2 linked regions of the Sus scrofa genome follow. The protein of the gene in region 1 interacts with the protein of each later gene in a pairwise test. Links are inferred from orthologs where the notes say so. Each region holds a gene or a part of one and is shown in the gene's direction. Other genes may lie near its edges. The genes, in order: VAMP5 and ERGIC3.

Region 1 (7,776 bases):
GGCCGCCCTGCAGCTCAGGGAGTTCCCAGGCCACAGATCAGATCTGAGCTGCAGTTGCCCCTTAAGGCTGAATCTGCGGCAAGGCTGGATCCTTAACCCATGGTGCATGGCCAGGGATCAAGCCTGCGTCCCAGTGCTCCCAAGACTCCACCCATCCTGTTGGGCCACAGCAGGAACTCCAGCACCTAAATATTTTTTTTTTATTTTTATTTTTTTGGGCCATGCCCAACGCAGGCAGAAGTTCCCCGGGCCAGGGATTGAGCCCTGGCCATGGCTGCAGCCTGAGCCACCACAGTGACAATGCCAGATCCTTAGCCTACTGAGCCACCGGGAAACTCCTAGCACTTAAACACTTAAATGTGTGGTGTGCGGGTCTCTGTTTGTACTCGTGGTCCAGTGGGAGGAGGCACTGGGTCACTCTGCCTTATCTCTTGCAGTCTGAGCACTTCAAGACCACGTCCCAGAAGGTGGCTCGGAAGTTCTGGTGGAAGAACGTGAAGATGATCGTCATCATCTGCGTGATCGTTTTTATCATCATCCTCTTCATCGTGCTCTTTGCCACCAACGTCATCCCTTAAAATAACTTAGGGAACCCCTTCCACCCTGCCCTCCTCTTCAGGGCAACCTTCCATAGTGGGTGCCGAGAGGGGCCCTCTCTCCCATGCTCCTCCACAAAGAATGCTGCTCGAGCCTCCCGCCTCTCACTCTGAGACCCCCGCACTGTCTGCCCCCGTGAGTACCTTGGTCCCTGGAAGGAGAGAGCCAGACTGTGGCTGTGTCTCAGGGGGCCTCAGAGGTGGTTGGAGAGACAGACCCAGAGGGCCCAGCATGTGGCTGGGAAGCTGATGGAACTGACGGTGGCCAGTGGGCAATAAAGACCTTTCTGTATCCCTATGCGTGTGAGGTCCTTTCTCCCTTTCCGTTTGGACCTTCTATTTCTTTTTCTTTTTAGTCTTCTTAGGGCCACACCCACCATATATGGAAGTTCCCAGGCTAGGGGTCGAATTGGAGCTGCAGCTGCCAGCCTACACCACAGCCACTGCAACTCAGGATCCGAGCCGGTCTGCAACCTGCACCACAGCTCAATAGCAACACTCAGTCAGTCCTTAACCCACTGAGCAAGGCCAGGATCGAATCTATATCCTCATGGATACTAGTTGGGTTCTTAATCTGCTGAGCCACAGCGGGAACTCCTGGCCCTTCTATTGCTTTTCTCTCTGAAGACCCTCTGGCAGAGTCTCCCATTGGAGGGCCAAGTTATTGGAGGGGCGGAGAGCATATATTTGAAGGAGAAAAGTGGAAATGCCTTGTCTTTCTTGTTTGTTTTGTTTTGTTGTTTTGGCGACCCCTGCAGCATATGGAGTTCCTGGGCCAGAGAATGCCAGATCCAACCTGTATCCTGGGGCTGCAGAGATGCTGCCAATCCCACTGCTCCACAGAGGGAACTCCTCCCTGACTTTCTTTATCTCTCCTTTCTCCATCACTGTCACTTGTCTCAAGAAGAGGAATTTTCTGGAGGTCTCAGCATACAGAAAATTCAAAACCTCCCCCAACATTTTAGGGTGGTATGTAAGACTCCCAGTGGCCCTCTCTTGCCATTTCCTTTGTTACTTTTCTGCGGGAAGTGTTAGCTGAGATGGGAAACCTACCTGGGCTGACCCTTTCGTCTGGTTAAGGGCCTCCTGCCCCTCCCATCAGTGCTCTTTCTCTTCCATGGCCCTATTGTACTCTAGAGGTGGGAGGTGGGGTGCGGGGTGTTGGAGGAACTGAACTGCTTTTCCGTCTCCTGTGGTTCTGCAAGTTCCATTTGTCTTTTGTCTGCCCCTGCCCTCCTGGAGCTTAGCAGGGCCTCTGGGTCTCAGCTGTCCTGAGGGGGCAAGCATCTCACGCGTGTCCCGTGGCCGGGCACAGTCAGTGTCACAGGACAGGGCCTATGGCCTTCCTTCCCCTCGACGGACAATGGGCCTCTCTGTCTTTGGGCCTCCCTCCTCCCTACCAGGTTCCATCGTCATTGTCACTCTTTCCGGTACCCAGTCTGCCTTGGTTTGAGGGAAGGGTTTTCATCATCTCTGTCCTTGTTTCCCCCATAGGTGTTCCACAATTGAACCTGTTTGGGGGAGGGAGTCCAGAAGGGCAGGGGTGGGAGACAGGATTTGAGACTTAGTACTGGCAAGTTGGGTTCTAGAATCATGCTCTGAAAACTAGGAAGGGAGGAAAGCACAGATGAGACCCCCACCCCAGTCTTTTTTTTTTTTTTTTTTCTTTTTTTTTAAGGCTGCATCTGCAGCATATGGGAGTTTCCAGGCTAGGGGCTGAATTGGAGCTGGAGCTGGACCTGCTGGCCTACGTCACAGCCACAGCCACGCAGGATCCAAGCCATGTCTGAGACCTACACCACAGTCCACGGCAACGCCAGATACTTAACCCACTGAGGGAGGCCAGGGATTGAACCTGCATTATCATGGATACTAGTCGGGTTCTTAACCTGCTGAACCACAACGGGAACTCCTTGCTGTGATCTTTGTCACAACCATGTCCATCCCCTGTCCTCAGTCCACTCCTGGACTGGAGCTCCGAGCAGCCTCAGCCATTGCAACCCAGACTCACCGTCCTGGGTGGGGGTGGGGTCTTTGTTCACTGGGATTCATCCAGGGAGAGGGAACTTTAAGCCTCCTTCCTTAAAAGGGGCCACCTCTGAGATGTTGGGGGTGGCAAGGGGTGCGGTGGAGAAGAGGTGGCAGGTGGCTTCCCTGAAGCACTGAAAGGAGAGGCTGAGGATGGACGGATCCAGCTCAAGAAGGCTCTGGAAGGACTGGACACACCAACCTCCCTCATCCTCCCATTGAGGAACAGGGGCATATTAGGGCAGGGTTGCACTTAGCACGTGGTGAAAGGGAAGTAAAGAAAAAGCTAGAACTAGGGTTGGGGAAGGGGCTCTCTGTTTTCTCTTTTGATTGAGGTGAAATTCACAAAACATACAATCGACTGTTTTATAATGTACAATCCAGTGGCAGGTAGTGTATTAATACCATTTATTGTGAATAAAATTTATTTGGTTTCAAAACTTTGAGGAGGTCGTTTTTAGGGTGATGGGTAATTTGCATTCATCAAGGTGGGCAGCGCCTAGCACAGGGCAGGGCAGTGGCACTCCTACAGGTTCCTGTTGAATGAATAAATGATGATGCCTCCCCAGGTCAACCCGATCTACCAGATCTGGGATGCAGCTCTAGAGAGGACTCCTTGAGCCCACTCCAGAGCCCACTCCAGCGGGCCCCCGAGGTGTAGACCTGGCACCAGGCTGTCCATGCAGAGCCCCCACTTCACGAGGCTGGGGAGTCGTTCGCGGCCGGGCGCCGGCGGCGGCGCAGGGAGAGGCACCGGCCCCGGAGCCCAGAATCCTTCGCCGGTCGCTTTCGATTTGTCTTGGTCACGGTCGCGGCGCAGGGATCGCGCGCCCCCCGCCCCCCGCCGAGCCGGCCCCGCCCTCCGTTTCCTCCCTGGTCCCTGGCACCGCGGCCGCTTGAGGGCAGAGGAGCCGGAGCTGACGAGGTGGCGGCAGCAGCGACGATGGTGAGAGCCCGGGGCTGGGCGGCGGGCAGAGGGCGAGCGACGTGGGAGTGCGAGGCGATAGAACGAAGTCCAAGGGCCCGGGCGTCTTCCCGGAACCCGCGCTGGTCCCCCAGCGAGGTAGTGCCGGCCAGAGCAGGACCAAAACAGACCCTCCGCTCACCTCGCGCATCCCGGGAGGGAAAGTGGGGCGTGCGCGGGTCCCCGCAGCTCCGCGCCAAGAGAACGGGACTCTGGCTTCCCACTTGAGGGGGCCAAGTGGTTACAAGCACCGGCTTCGGTGTCAGACTCCGGGCAGAGATCCTGTTGGTGGCCACTTACCCACTCTGTGACCCCGGGCAAGTCACTTAGCCTCCCTGAGCCTCCTCTTCCGCATGGTGAAGTGGGGTCAGCAATACCGACAGCCTTGCTGGGTCCTCGGAAGGTTAGAGGAGAGACGGTGGCAGAGAGCTGCCTGGTACTCAGAACCTGCTCCTGAGAAGTGGTGGGTAATATGATGACCTCTTCAGCCCTTCCTGAAGCTGTGAGGAGCCAAGTCTGGCCCAGGGCTTGGAAACCTGAGCAGATGGGGTGGTAGAGGCCATGCCAGCCCCTGTGCCAGGGTGTTGGAAGGCAAACTCCTCCCCCTGGGGAAAGAGAAAGGAAGATGTTTACTGTAAGCGTTCCACTGAAGTTATCAGGGGGTGGCATAGCCTGACTTGCTTCTAGCCCCTATCTAGGGACACATTCTTAAGTTGAGTCATCCCCCACTCCTGCTGTAGACTTGGGCCTCTGTTCCCACTTGCCTTCTCCAAGGCTAAGGTGTCAAGAATAGGTGGTACTGGAGGCTTCTCTCTGCTAGAACTCCCTGGAAGTTGGGCCCCGGCAGGCGCCAGCAGGCTGGGTACTGGGATTCTGCCCGTGGAAAGCCAGCAGAGGTGTGATGGATGTGGCCTGGCTGGGGGTCTGGATGCCTGGATGGCCTCATCTCCAGGGACCTGGAGGCAGGAAGAGGAAGCGGGGCAGGAAGGTAGCGTGGAGCTCTGCAGCCACGCCAGGAAACTGAGGGAGGCTGGAGAATAGGACAGACCCCAGAGCCCACTTCCCAGCGGGTGGAGCAAAGGATCAGGCAGGGTTAGGGTAGGCTTGCAGCTAACCCTTAAGCACTTGGAGAGAAGAGGAAACTCTGCAAGGCTGAGACTAAGATCATTTATTGGAAGGTACTGGAAAACTCTGGGACTCTCACAGGTTCATCTGAGGAAATGATGCATCTGAGCCCAGGGAGGGTACACTGATGCCTGTCTCCCATCCATCTCCTCGCTCCTTCCCTCTGTTTTTTTTTTCTTTTTTTTCTTCTTCTTCCAGTTTTTTGGTTTTTTTTTTGTTGTTGTTGTTGTTTTGTTTGTTTGTTTGTTTTTGGTCTTTTTGCTATTTCTTGGGCCACTCCCGTGGCATATGGAGGTTCCCAGGCTAGGGGTCGAATCGGAGCTGTATCCACTGGCCTATGCCAGAGCCACAGCAACGCGGGATCCGAGCCGTGTCTGCAACCTACACCACAGCTCACAGCAACGCCGGATTGTCAACCCACTGAGCAAGGGCAGGGACCGAACCCCCAACCTCGTGGTTTCTAGTAGGATTCATTAACCACTGCGCCATGACGGGAACTCCTTCTTCTTCCAGTTTTTAAAGTTTTATTGGAGTATAGTTGGTTTAAAAGGTTGTGATAATTTCTGCTGTACAGAAAAGTGATTCAGTCATACCTGTACACACATCCATTCTCATTAAGATTCTTTTCCCACATAGATTATCACAGAATACTGGGTAGAGTTCTCTGTGCTATATAGCAGGTCCCTGTTGACCAATCATTCCATATATCTCAATGCGCATGTGCCAACTCCAACCTCCTCCTGCCCCTCCCACCCCGTTCATCACTCCCCCACCCCTATTTTTTCTTTCACTCCTGCCCCTTCGTCAACCCCCGGCACTTTCCCTTCCTTCTTCACATCTGCCTTGCCTACTTTTCCTTCTTTTCCTTCCTTTCCCTTCTTTCCTCCTCTTCTCTGATTCACTCACATAACAAGTGTTTCTTGGGCATTTTCTTTGTGCCAGGCATGGTGACTGGCATAGGAAACAGAGTAGGAAGAAAATATTGATGGGAAAGACAGAAATTTAATGAGTAATGACTTGACATCATTCATCTCATAGATGGTCCTCTCTCAGGCCCTGTGCAAAGAATTTGAGTTTTGAGCCAAACTCACATGCACACAAGTTGAGCTGGCAGCATCAGAAGGTCTGGTGAGTCTTTAGCCAGCCAGCTAAAGCATTTGGCCTTTCTTTACCTGCATCCAGTTCAGCATAGGGGTTAAGAATGTGATTCTTGGAGTCGAAGTTGATTCAACTCTGAGATCTCCTTGTCACTGGCTCTGTGACCTTGGTTCGGTGACTTAACCCTTCTGACTTCAGTTTCTTATACGACAGGGATAACAGCACTTTCCCATTGAAGCACATTATTGTGAGGCTTAAATGAAATAAACAGCAGGAAGCACAGAACTTAGCTCAGAGTATGTGCCCACTGAATGGTGGCTGTTACCACTGTCAAGATGTAAAACCTTCTCAACAGTCTGCTGTGACTGATGGAAATAAACTAGATACAGGTTATCAAAGGCCAGTGTCAAGTTCTATATTTAGGTTAGAAACAAGTGCACAAGTTTGCAAAAGGGAAGAGCTTGCTTGGTTGTGTATTTTGTCAAAATGTCTAAGAGGCTTTATGGACCACAAGCATTGTGTAGGTACTGGGATCCGATAGCTAAAAAAAAAAAAAAAAAAAAAAAAAGGTAGGGAATCTTGGGCTACAGTGATAATAATAGCTATTATTTATTGAGCATTTAGTACAAGTCAGGAACTCTGGTAAAAACTTTATTTGTAACATGTCACATGCCTTGGCTGATATTATGGCAGATATTATTGTCACTACTTTATAGATGAGGAAGCGGAAGGTCAAAAAAGTCATATCCTTAGTCTTTAGTCACTTAGCCGGTGAGCGACAGAGGCAGGATTTAAAGGAACCAGGGCTGTAATGCAGACCCTGACTCTTAGACCCTGAGCTTAAGTGAGTGCTGACCCAGGAAGGAGTCGATACACCAGATTGCCGCCCAGGTACATTTTTTTTTCTTTTTAGGGCTGCACCTGCGGCATATGGAAGTTCCCAGGCTAGGGGTTGAATTGGAGCTTCAGCTGCTGGTCTGGATCACAGCCAGATCCACCAGATCCAAGCCACATTTATATGCACCTCGAGGCAACACTGGATCCTTAACCCACTGAGCGAGGCCAAGGATCGAACCCGCATCGTCATGGATGCTAGTCAAGTTCTTAACTGGCTGAGCCACAATGGGAACTCCAGTCTGAGTCCTTTTGAGGACGACGGTAATGACAGCTGAGAGGGGAGACCGGAGAGTTGACGGGGGAGGTTTTTGAGAGATTTGTTTTCAGAGCAACTGACTCTAGCCTGGAAAAACCTGAAAGGAGATTTGAGAATGGAAAGAGGGATATTCTGCACATGGGGTGACATTCTGTCAATTTCCTGTTTAACTAACACTTCCCCGCCTGCCAACAGCACTGCCTACCTCCCCCACCTCCAGCCTCGGAAATGCTTCTCTTACCCACCCTTCCTCTCCTCACCCACCACTCCCCCCAGCCTGGGGACATCGCCTCATACCCTTGCTGATGGCACTTCCCCACACCTTCTCGTAGCCTCTCAGCCTAAGGTTTTCCACTTCTGTCCATGCCTGCCCATGGCATGTGGAAGTTCCTAGGCCAGGATTCAAACTCTCGCCACAGCAGTGACAATGCTGGATCCTTAACCAACTAAGCCACCAGGGAACTCCTAAACTCTTTTCTCTAGTTATGTCATATACATCTCTTTTCCCTGGCCTATAGTGAATTTTTTCATTTTTTTTTAAGGGCTGCACCTGCGGCAGCATATGGAAGTTCCCAGGCTAGGTGTCAGATTGGAGCTGCAGCTGCTGGCCTACACCACAGCCACAGCAATGCCAGATCCCAGCCCCATCTGCAACACAGCTCACGATAATGCCGGATCCTTAACCCACTGAGCAAGGCCAAGGATCGAACCCACATCCTTCCTCATGGATCCTAGTTGGGTTCTTAACCTGCTGAGCCACAATGGGAACTCCTATAGTGATCTTTGTAAGAACATAATTCATTCAGAAAATA
Region 2 (6,998 bases), on another chromosome or scaffold:
GTCTCAAGGATTGTTTCTTAGGTTTTCTTCTTGGAGTCTTAGGGTAGCAAGTCTTAAATTTAAGTCTTTAATCCATTTCAAGTTAATTATTGTGAGTGGTGTAAAATAGGGTACAATTTCATTCTTTTGCATGTGAATATCCAGTTTTCCCAACACCATTTGTTAAAGAGACTGTTCATTCCCATTTGGACCGTGAAATTTATTTATTTTTTTTTTCTTTTTTTTGGTCTTTTTGCTATTTTTTGGGCCGCTCCTGCGGCATATGGAAGTTCCCTGGCTAGGGGTCTAATTGGAGCTGTAGCCACCGGCCTACACCAGAGCCACAGCAACGCAGGATCCAAGCCGAGTCTGCAACCTACACCACAGCTCACGGCAACGCCGGATTGTTAACCCACTGAGCAAGGGCAGGGACCGAACCTGCAACCTCATGGTTCCTAGTCGGATTCGTTAACCACTGCGCCACGACGGGAACTCCTGGACCGTGAAATTTAAATGAGGGAAGTGAGGACATGAAAGGGTGATAGTGTCCATGATGTCAAAGAACTGGTGGAGTTTGGGTGCCAGAGAGAGAAAGCTGGGGAAATGATGATAAGATTGAAGACTAGGATACTTGAAATTGAATTTTGGAAGGTTAATGGTAATTGGTAATAACTCTGGGTATGAGTATGGAAATGGGTGTATAGGGTTAGATGACAAAATAAAAAGAGGATTGGAGGGCAGAAGGTCAGGGTATTGAATATTGAAATCACCAGTTACAGTGAGGTAGTTAAAGGCAGGGAGCCAGGTGCAAAGAGACCGAGGAGAAGCACCATGGTTAAGGGCATACACTTTGGAATTAGAGTTGAAATCTGCCACTTACTGGGTTGCATTAGGCAAAATCACCTTTCAATTCTGAGCCTCAGCTCCTCCTCAAGTACGATGGGAATAATAACCTCCACCTTCACAAAGTCATTGTGGGGCTGAAAAAAGACAATATATGTATATGTAAAGTACACAACTATACTCAGGTAATATTTAGTATTTGCTGTTACTGTTTTATTACTGTTACCTTTATTAAAAGAAATAACAGTGTAGAAATACTTAGTGCTTGACACTTAGTATGTACTATGTAAATATTAGCTATTATAATGTTTATTATTCTTAAGCCACAGGCTGAAGGGTGCATGCAGGGATTGGGAGTACAGATCTCACTGTGCCTGCCCCCAGCTGATACCCCTGCCTCTGCCCTCCCCATAGAGCTCGGGAAAGTCGAGATAAAGGTGTTTGACCCTGACTCCCTGGACCCCGATCGCTGTGAGAGCTGCTATGGCGCTGAGACGGAAGACATCAAGTGAGCCAGACTTGGGCAGTGGTGGGGAACAGCTCCCACCAGGCACTTTTCGTTGGTCATCCTCAGCCTGTGTTGGACCTTGGGGGTAGGGAGGCCGGACCAAGAATTTAGACAAGATGGTCACCGATGCTGGTGCAAGTGGCTGAGGCTCTGTGGCCGGGCCCTGCCTGGGGGCTGCAGAGCAGGGATGAGGTTGAAGTGGTCCTTGCTCTGTTTCAGAGGTAGTCTCTGGAGTCCAGCTGCCTGATTTCCACCCATGTGTCCTTGGGCCAAGCTACATAAAACCTCTCCTGTGACAGGGGATGATAATATTACCTTTCTCAGAGGGTCACATAAGGAGTAAATATATTCTGTTTGTGAAGCACTGAGCTGGAAGGCCCAGCCCGGGTTATTAAGCCCTCAATATGTGGCAATTGCTGTTTTGTTTCTTGGGCCCTGGCCCCTGAGAGGCTGATTCAGCTGGTCTAGGGTAGGGCCTGGGAATGTGTATTTAAAATTTTTTTATTTAGGTAACATATATATGAAATAAAATTTACCACTTTAACCATTTTCATGTGCGCAGTCCGGTGGCATTAACTTCATTCATAGTATTGTAAAGCCATCACTACTGCCTGGTCCAAAACTTTTCATCATCCCAAACAAAATGAGAATATGTATTTTTAATAGTCCTGCTGAGGAAACAAACTTTGAGAATGTTTGGTGGTCAGGAATGAGGCTGGCAAGGCTTCATTATTGGACAGAACCGCTTTATTTCCCAAGATGCCAGCATTATTTTTGTGCCTGTTTGACACTCTTACCCCTGCACCCCATCTCCGACAGGTGCTGTAACTCCTGCGAGGATGTGCGGGAGGCATATCGCCGTCGAGGCTGGGCCTTCAAGAACCCAGACACTATTGAGCAGTGCCGGCGGGAGGGCTTCAGCCAGAAGATGCAGGAGCAGAAGAATGAAGGCTGCCAGGTGTACGGCTTCTTGGAAGTCAACAAGGTACAGGAGGACCCGAGGCAGGACAGGGCCAGCGGGGCTGTGGGCTGGCCCCACTCCACTGTGAATCGAGGGCCCACTTGTCCTCAGGGGACAAAAGGAAGGGCGGAAACAGCTGGGGAAAGAGAGGGTTATCTCCCTTACAGGTGGCTGGGAACTTCCACTTCGCCCCCGGGAAGAGCTTCCAGCAGTCCCATGTGCATGGTAAGTGATCTGCATCAACCGGGAGCTTCACTTCCAGACCCAGGTTGAGTTTGAATGCCCCTTTGCCTGCCTGATGCTCTTTAGTCTTTGGCCCAGAGCAAACCCTCATCTCAGGGTTTGGTAACCAGTTAAGAGCACAGCTGAGGAGCCAGACTGCCTGGCTTCAGATTTCAGTTTTAGACCTTACTGGCTATTTGAAACTTGGAGACAGTTTCCTTTTTGAGCTTCAGTGTTCTACTTTATAAAATGGTGATAATAATACTGATTTCCTAGGCTGTTTGGGCAGGGTAAAGATGATAGCATGGGAGTTCCTGCTGTGGCACAGTAGGTTAAGGTCTGGTGTTGCCACAGCGGTGGCATAGGTCACAGCTGTAACTCAGATTCAGTCCCTGGCCTGGGACCTCCCTATGTCACAGGTGCAGCCCCACAAAAAGCCCAAAAAACAACAGCAAAAAAATCCTCCAAAATATGACAGCACAGAGCCTGGCTTGTGATAGGCATGTGTTTAAATGGTAGCCCCAATGTCAGATGACCTGTGTGTGAGGCTTTAGGGAAAGCAGAGCTGGTCTGGAGCCCAGGTTCTGCCTTCCCAGAGCAGTGTCATATTTGGGAAGTATCGAGTCCTACTCAGTTTCTCCTATAAAATGGGCCTGAAATAGTACCTACCGTACAGTTGTTCACAGGTGTGAGTAAATGAAATTTATTCTCATTCATTTATTCATCCATCCATTCTCTAGATATTTAGTAATCACCTGCTGTGTGCCATGTACTAGTCTAGGTGCTAAGAACACAGTAGTGATCAAAGCAAAGTTCCCTGCCCTCAGAACAGCCTAGTAAAGAAATAGACAATAAACAAGTATATAAATTATATGGTACATCAGATGTTTTTAAGTAACATGAACCCATAAGAGGCAGGATAAAGATGATGGGGGTGAGAGGCTTGAGAGAGAAGTTATGTGTGTGCCGTTTCATACAGAGTGGTCAGGGAAAGACTCTCTGATGGGTAATGTTTGAGCAAAGACCTGAAGAAAGTGAAGGGACCAGCCGCATAGAAGTGTGGGAGAAGCGTTTCAAGCAGAGAATGGAAATCCCTAAGGCAGGAATGGGCTTGGTGAACTTGAGGTACCAGTACCTTGAGAATTAGGGTGCCTGGGGCTCAGTGAGCAGAACTGCGGGGTTAGGAATAAGGTGGGAGTGACAGGGGCGTGTCAAGTGGGGCCCCCAAGAGCCTTGTAGGGACTTGAGCTTTTACCCTGTGCCAGATGGTAGGGCTCTGAAGGAGGCTGTGGCAGGGCTCTGAAGAAGTGGTGCATGATCTGATTTAACTTCAAAAAGTAGGAGTTCCCTTCACGGCTCAGGGGTTAACAAACCCGACTAGGATCCATGAGAATTCAAGTTTGATTCCTGCCTCACTCAGTGGGTTAAGGATCCGGCATTGCCGTGAGCTGTGGGGCAGGTCACAGGCATAGCTCGGATCCTACATTGCTGTGGCTGTGGTGTAGGCTCGCAGCAGTAGCTCCAATTCAACCCCTAGCTTGGGAACTTCTATATGCCCTGGGTGCAGCCCTAAAAACAAACAAAAAAGCAAAAAAACCCCACAAAACTTCAAAAAGTAGGCAGCATTCTGCTGTGTGAAGACTGTGGAGGGGAGGACAGATACCGCAAGGCCAGCTGGGAGGCTGTCGCAGTGATGGATCCGGGTGCCGGATGATGGGGGCTGGGCACAGTGGCAGTAGAGGAGGTGAGAAGTGATTGTATATATTTTGAAGGTAGAGCTGAGAGGAGTTCCTGTCGGGTGGGAAGGTAAAGCAAAGAGAATGACTCCAAAAGTTTTGTACTTGAGCAGCGAGAAGGATGAAGTTACCATTTAGTGAGGCGGTGAAGACTCAGAGGAACAGGTTTAGATGGTTGGAGTGGGGGACATAGAGCTGCTTTCAGCATGTCCTTTTAGATACCCAGGTATCAGGTAAGCAATGAGTTATTCAAATGTGGAATTCGAGGCAGAGGTCTGGCCTGGAGGTACAAATGTTGGAGTCATCAGTGTATTTAAAGCTGTGGAACTGGATGAAGGACCTTGCAGGTGGAGGTGAGGGTAGGTGGTGAAGAGGAAAGCTCAGAGCACCAAGCACTGGACCCCCAGCTTTAGAGGACGGGGCTCAGGAGGAAGCAGCGGAGGAGCCTGGCAAGAAACACAGAGCCCTGGCTTGTCCTGCAAGCCAAGAAATGGAAGTGTTTCCAAAACCATATCAGATGCTTCTGGATGCCAAGTAGAATGATCATTGGGGGTATAGCATGGTAGTGGTCTTTGTGACCTTAACAGAGCAGTTTGGGTTGAGTGCCAGGGAGCAGCCAGTGAGTGGGTTCAGGAGGGAATAGGAGAAGAGTTGGAGCCCATGAGTGGAGACAGCTCTTTTATGGGGTTTGTTCTAAAGGGAAGGGAGAGGAGTCCCCTGGTGCCTCAGCAGATCAAGGACCTAGCATTGTCACTGCAGTGGCTCAGGCCACTCCTGTGGTGCAGGTTTCACCCCTGGCCTGGGAACTTCCACATGCCATGAGTGCAGCCAATAAATAAATAAATAAATAAATTTTAAAAATAGAGGGAAGGGAGAGAGTGGGCTCTGGCTGGAGGGAAATAGGCAGTGGGGGGCGCGGGAGTGGTTTGTCAGATGTGTGATGCCGCCTGGTGTTAATATGCTGTCAGATATTACCTGCTGAGGAGGGCAGAAGTGCTGCTCCCGAGAGGGAGGACATTCCCTGGAGTGAGGTCCTTTAGGAGGAAGAGACAGAATCTAGGCCTTAGCTGTGTAGAACGCCCTTACTTGGCAACAGGAGGAAAGGCAGACTATGTAGGTATGGGTGCGTTGGCAGCTGAGTGACATGGCCACCAGGAGTTGTGACAGGGCCATCATCGTATAGGAGAGGGAGACAGTCACTGGCTAAAGCCCTGGAGAACCGGCGTGAGAGGACTGACCAGCAGGTCTGTGTGTGTCTCCGAGAAGTTCAGACAGATGGAGTAGGTGGTAGTGTCATTGCCATGAGCTGCAAAACTGGAGATTTTTAGGGAAAATCAAGGGATAGTGATCTGGAAATGGCATTGAGGAACAAGGAGAACCTCTCTTAAGGTTAAGGAGGAAGAGGGTATGGGAGAGAAAAAGCCCCTGCCTGGGGGGCTGCAAGGGAAATAGTGCCTTCAGGGAAGAGCCAGGCTGCGGTCGGAGCACAAAGGTGAGGGAATATTTGGAGGTTGGAGATGTTGGGGTTTTGCTGTTGAGTAATAGGGCCCACGGGAGGTCTCAGAGGGATGGGAGACAGGATCGTACTTGAGAATGGATAGAGCCATCTGGTGACAAGACTCCAGAGGATGTGGGATGACCCAGAAGTCTTGAGCTGACCAGTGATAAAGCTCAGCAGGAATACCAGGCCCGACGGAGATGGCCCTGCTGGTCTTTCAGGCAGTCAGGGGTGGGGGGGATGAGGCTGAGTGTTGGGGCGGGGCAGGTAGATAGATCTGGAGGGGCTGGGGAAGGGTGGTCTCTCTGAAATCATGGGAAGATGATTGATGTGGAGCTGTGGGCACAGCGCCAGTGGGAACTCAGAAGGGTGGGTGCTTCTCCACTTCTCTGTCAGAGTCAGGGAGCCCAGGACAAAGGGTGCACTGTTCCCTAGAGGGATGTTCGAAGGGAAGCTACAGTTGTCCATGGCCAGAGCCTGAATTGAAGGCCTGTGAGCTAGTTTCTGACATCGTGTTGATTTGGGAGAGGAAAGGGGAAGACTGTAAAGTTTACCAAGGACTTTCCCATCTTAGATCCTACCTGGTCCTCAGGACAGCCCTGTGCAGAGGAGAATACCAAGGCTCAGAGAGGACAAGTGATTTGCCCAAAGTCACACAGCTAGGAAAGTGACTCTTTGAGCTCTAGGTCTTTTGTCTTCCTAGGCCACCATACTTCTGCCCCAAGCCCCCTTGTACTCTTCTCTGGCCGGGGAAGGGCTCCTTGGGGGAGGGGCCTGAGGAGAGACTTATTAGCTGTGTCTGGACCCTGCTGCTGAGGCAGGAACAGTCCAGTCTTCCCTTCTACCATGTATCTTGCTCCATTGTTCTCATTGTGAAGCTCTCAATCTTTTTTTCTTTTCCTCTTCCTCTCTGCTTCCCTCCCCCATGCTGCAGTACATGCTGTGGAGAGTAAGTGGCCCTGCCCCCCAGCAAGGCCAAGCCCCCATTTCTGGGGCAGCCTGCCCACCCAGGATGGGGAGAGGTTTGGATGGGCCTGGGATGGGGTTCTTCTCTGGCCTGGCTGCTGGGTGGACTATAAAAAGCTGTGGGATATATCTTTGAGGTGGGGTTCCTTGTAGCAAGAGGGATCAGGGTTAGAGGGCAGGAAGAACTGTTCTGGAGCAGAGGTACAGGGTGCCTGTGGGACTTCCTTCGGTGGCTTGAGGGTGGGGGCAAGGAGCCAGGGAAAGAGCTTGGACCACATTCTCAGG

Evidence for each region.
Region 2: the proteins of VAMP5 (region 1) and ERGIC3 interact in binary tests that used the Homo sapiens proteins (3 or more experiments, as listed by UniProt). The link is inferred for Sus scrofa from reciprocal best matches to the Homo sapiens genes VAMP5 and ERGIC3.

The regions. Positions count from the first base shown.
Region 1 is NC_010445.4:59,181,018-59,188,793, reverse strand, and holds the start of VAMP5 (vesicle-associated membrane protein 5), read left to right. Parts: upstream 1-3,090; 5' UTR 3,091-3,567; coding exon 3,568-3,570; intron 3,571-7,776. Other genes in the region: VAMP8 (vesicle-associated membrane protein 8), read left to right, coding at 438-578. UniProt on the Homo sapiens protein: May participate in trafficking events that are associated with myogenesis, such as myoblast fusion and/or GLUT4 trafficking.
Region 2 is NC_010459.5:38,889,373-38,896,370, forward strand, and holds part of ERGIC3 (endoplasmic reticulum-Golgi intermediate compartment protein 3), read left to right. Parts: intron 1-1,236; coding exon 1,237-1,330; intron 1,331-2,149; coding exon 2,150-2,315; intron 2,316-2,458; coding exon 2,459-2,516; intron 2,517-6,681; coding exon 6,682-6,696; intron 6,697-6,998. UniProt on the Homo sapiens protein: Possible role in transport between endoplasmic reticulum and Golgi. Positively regulates trafficking of the secretory proteins SERPINA1/alpha1-antitrypsin and HP/haptoglobin.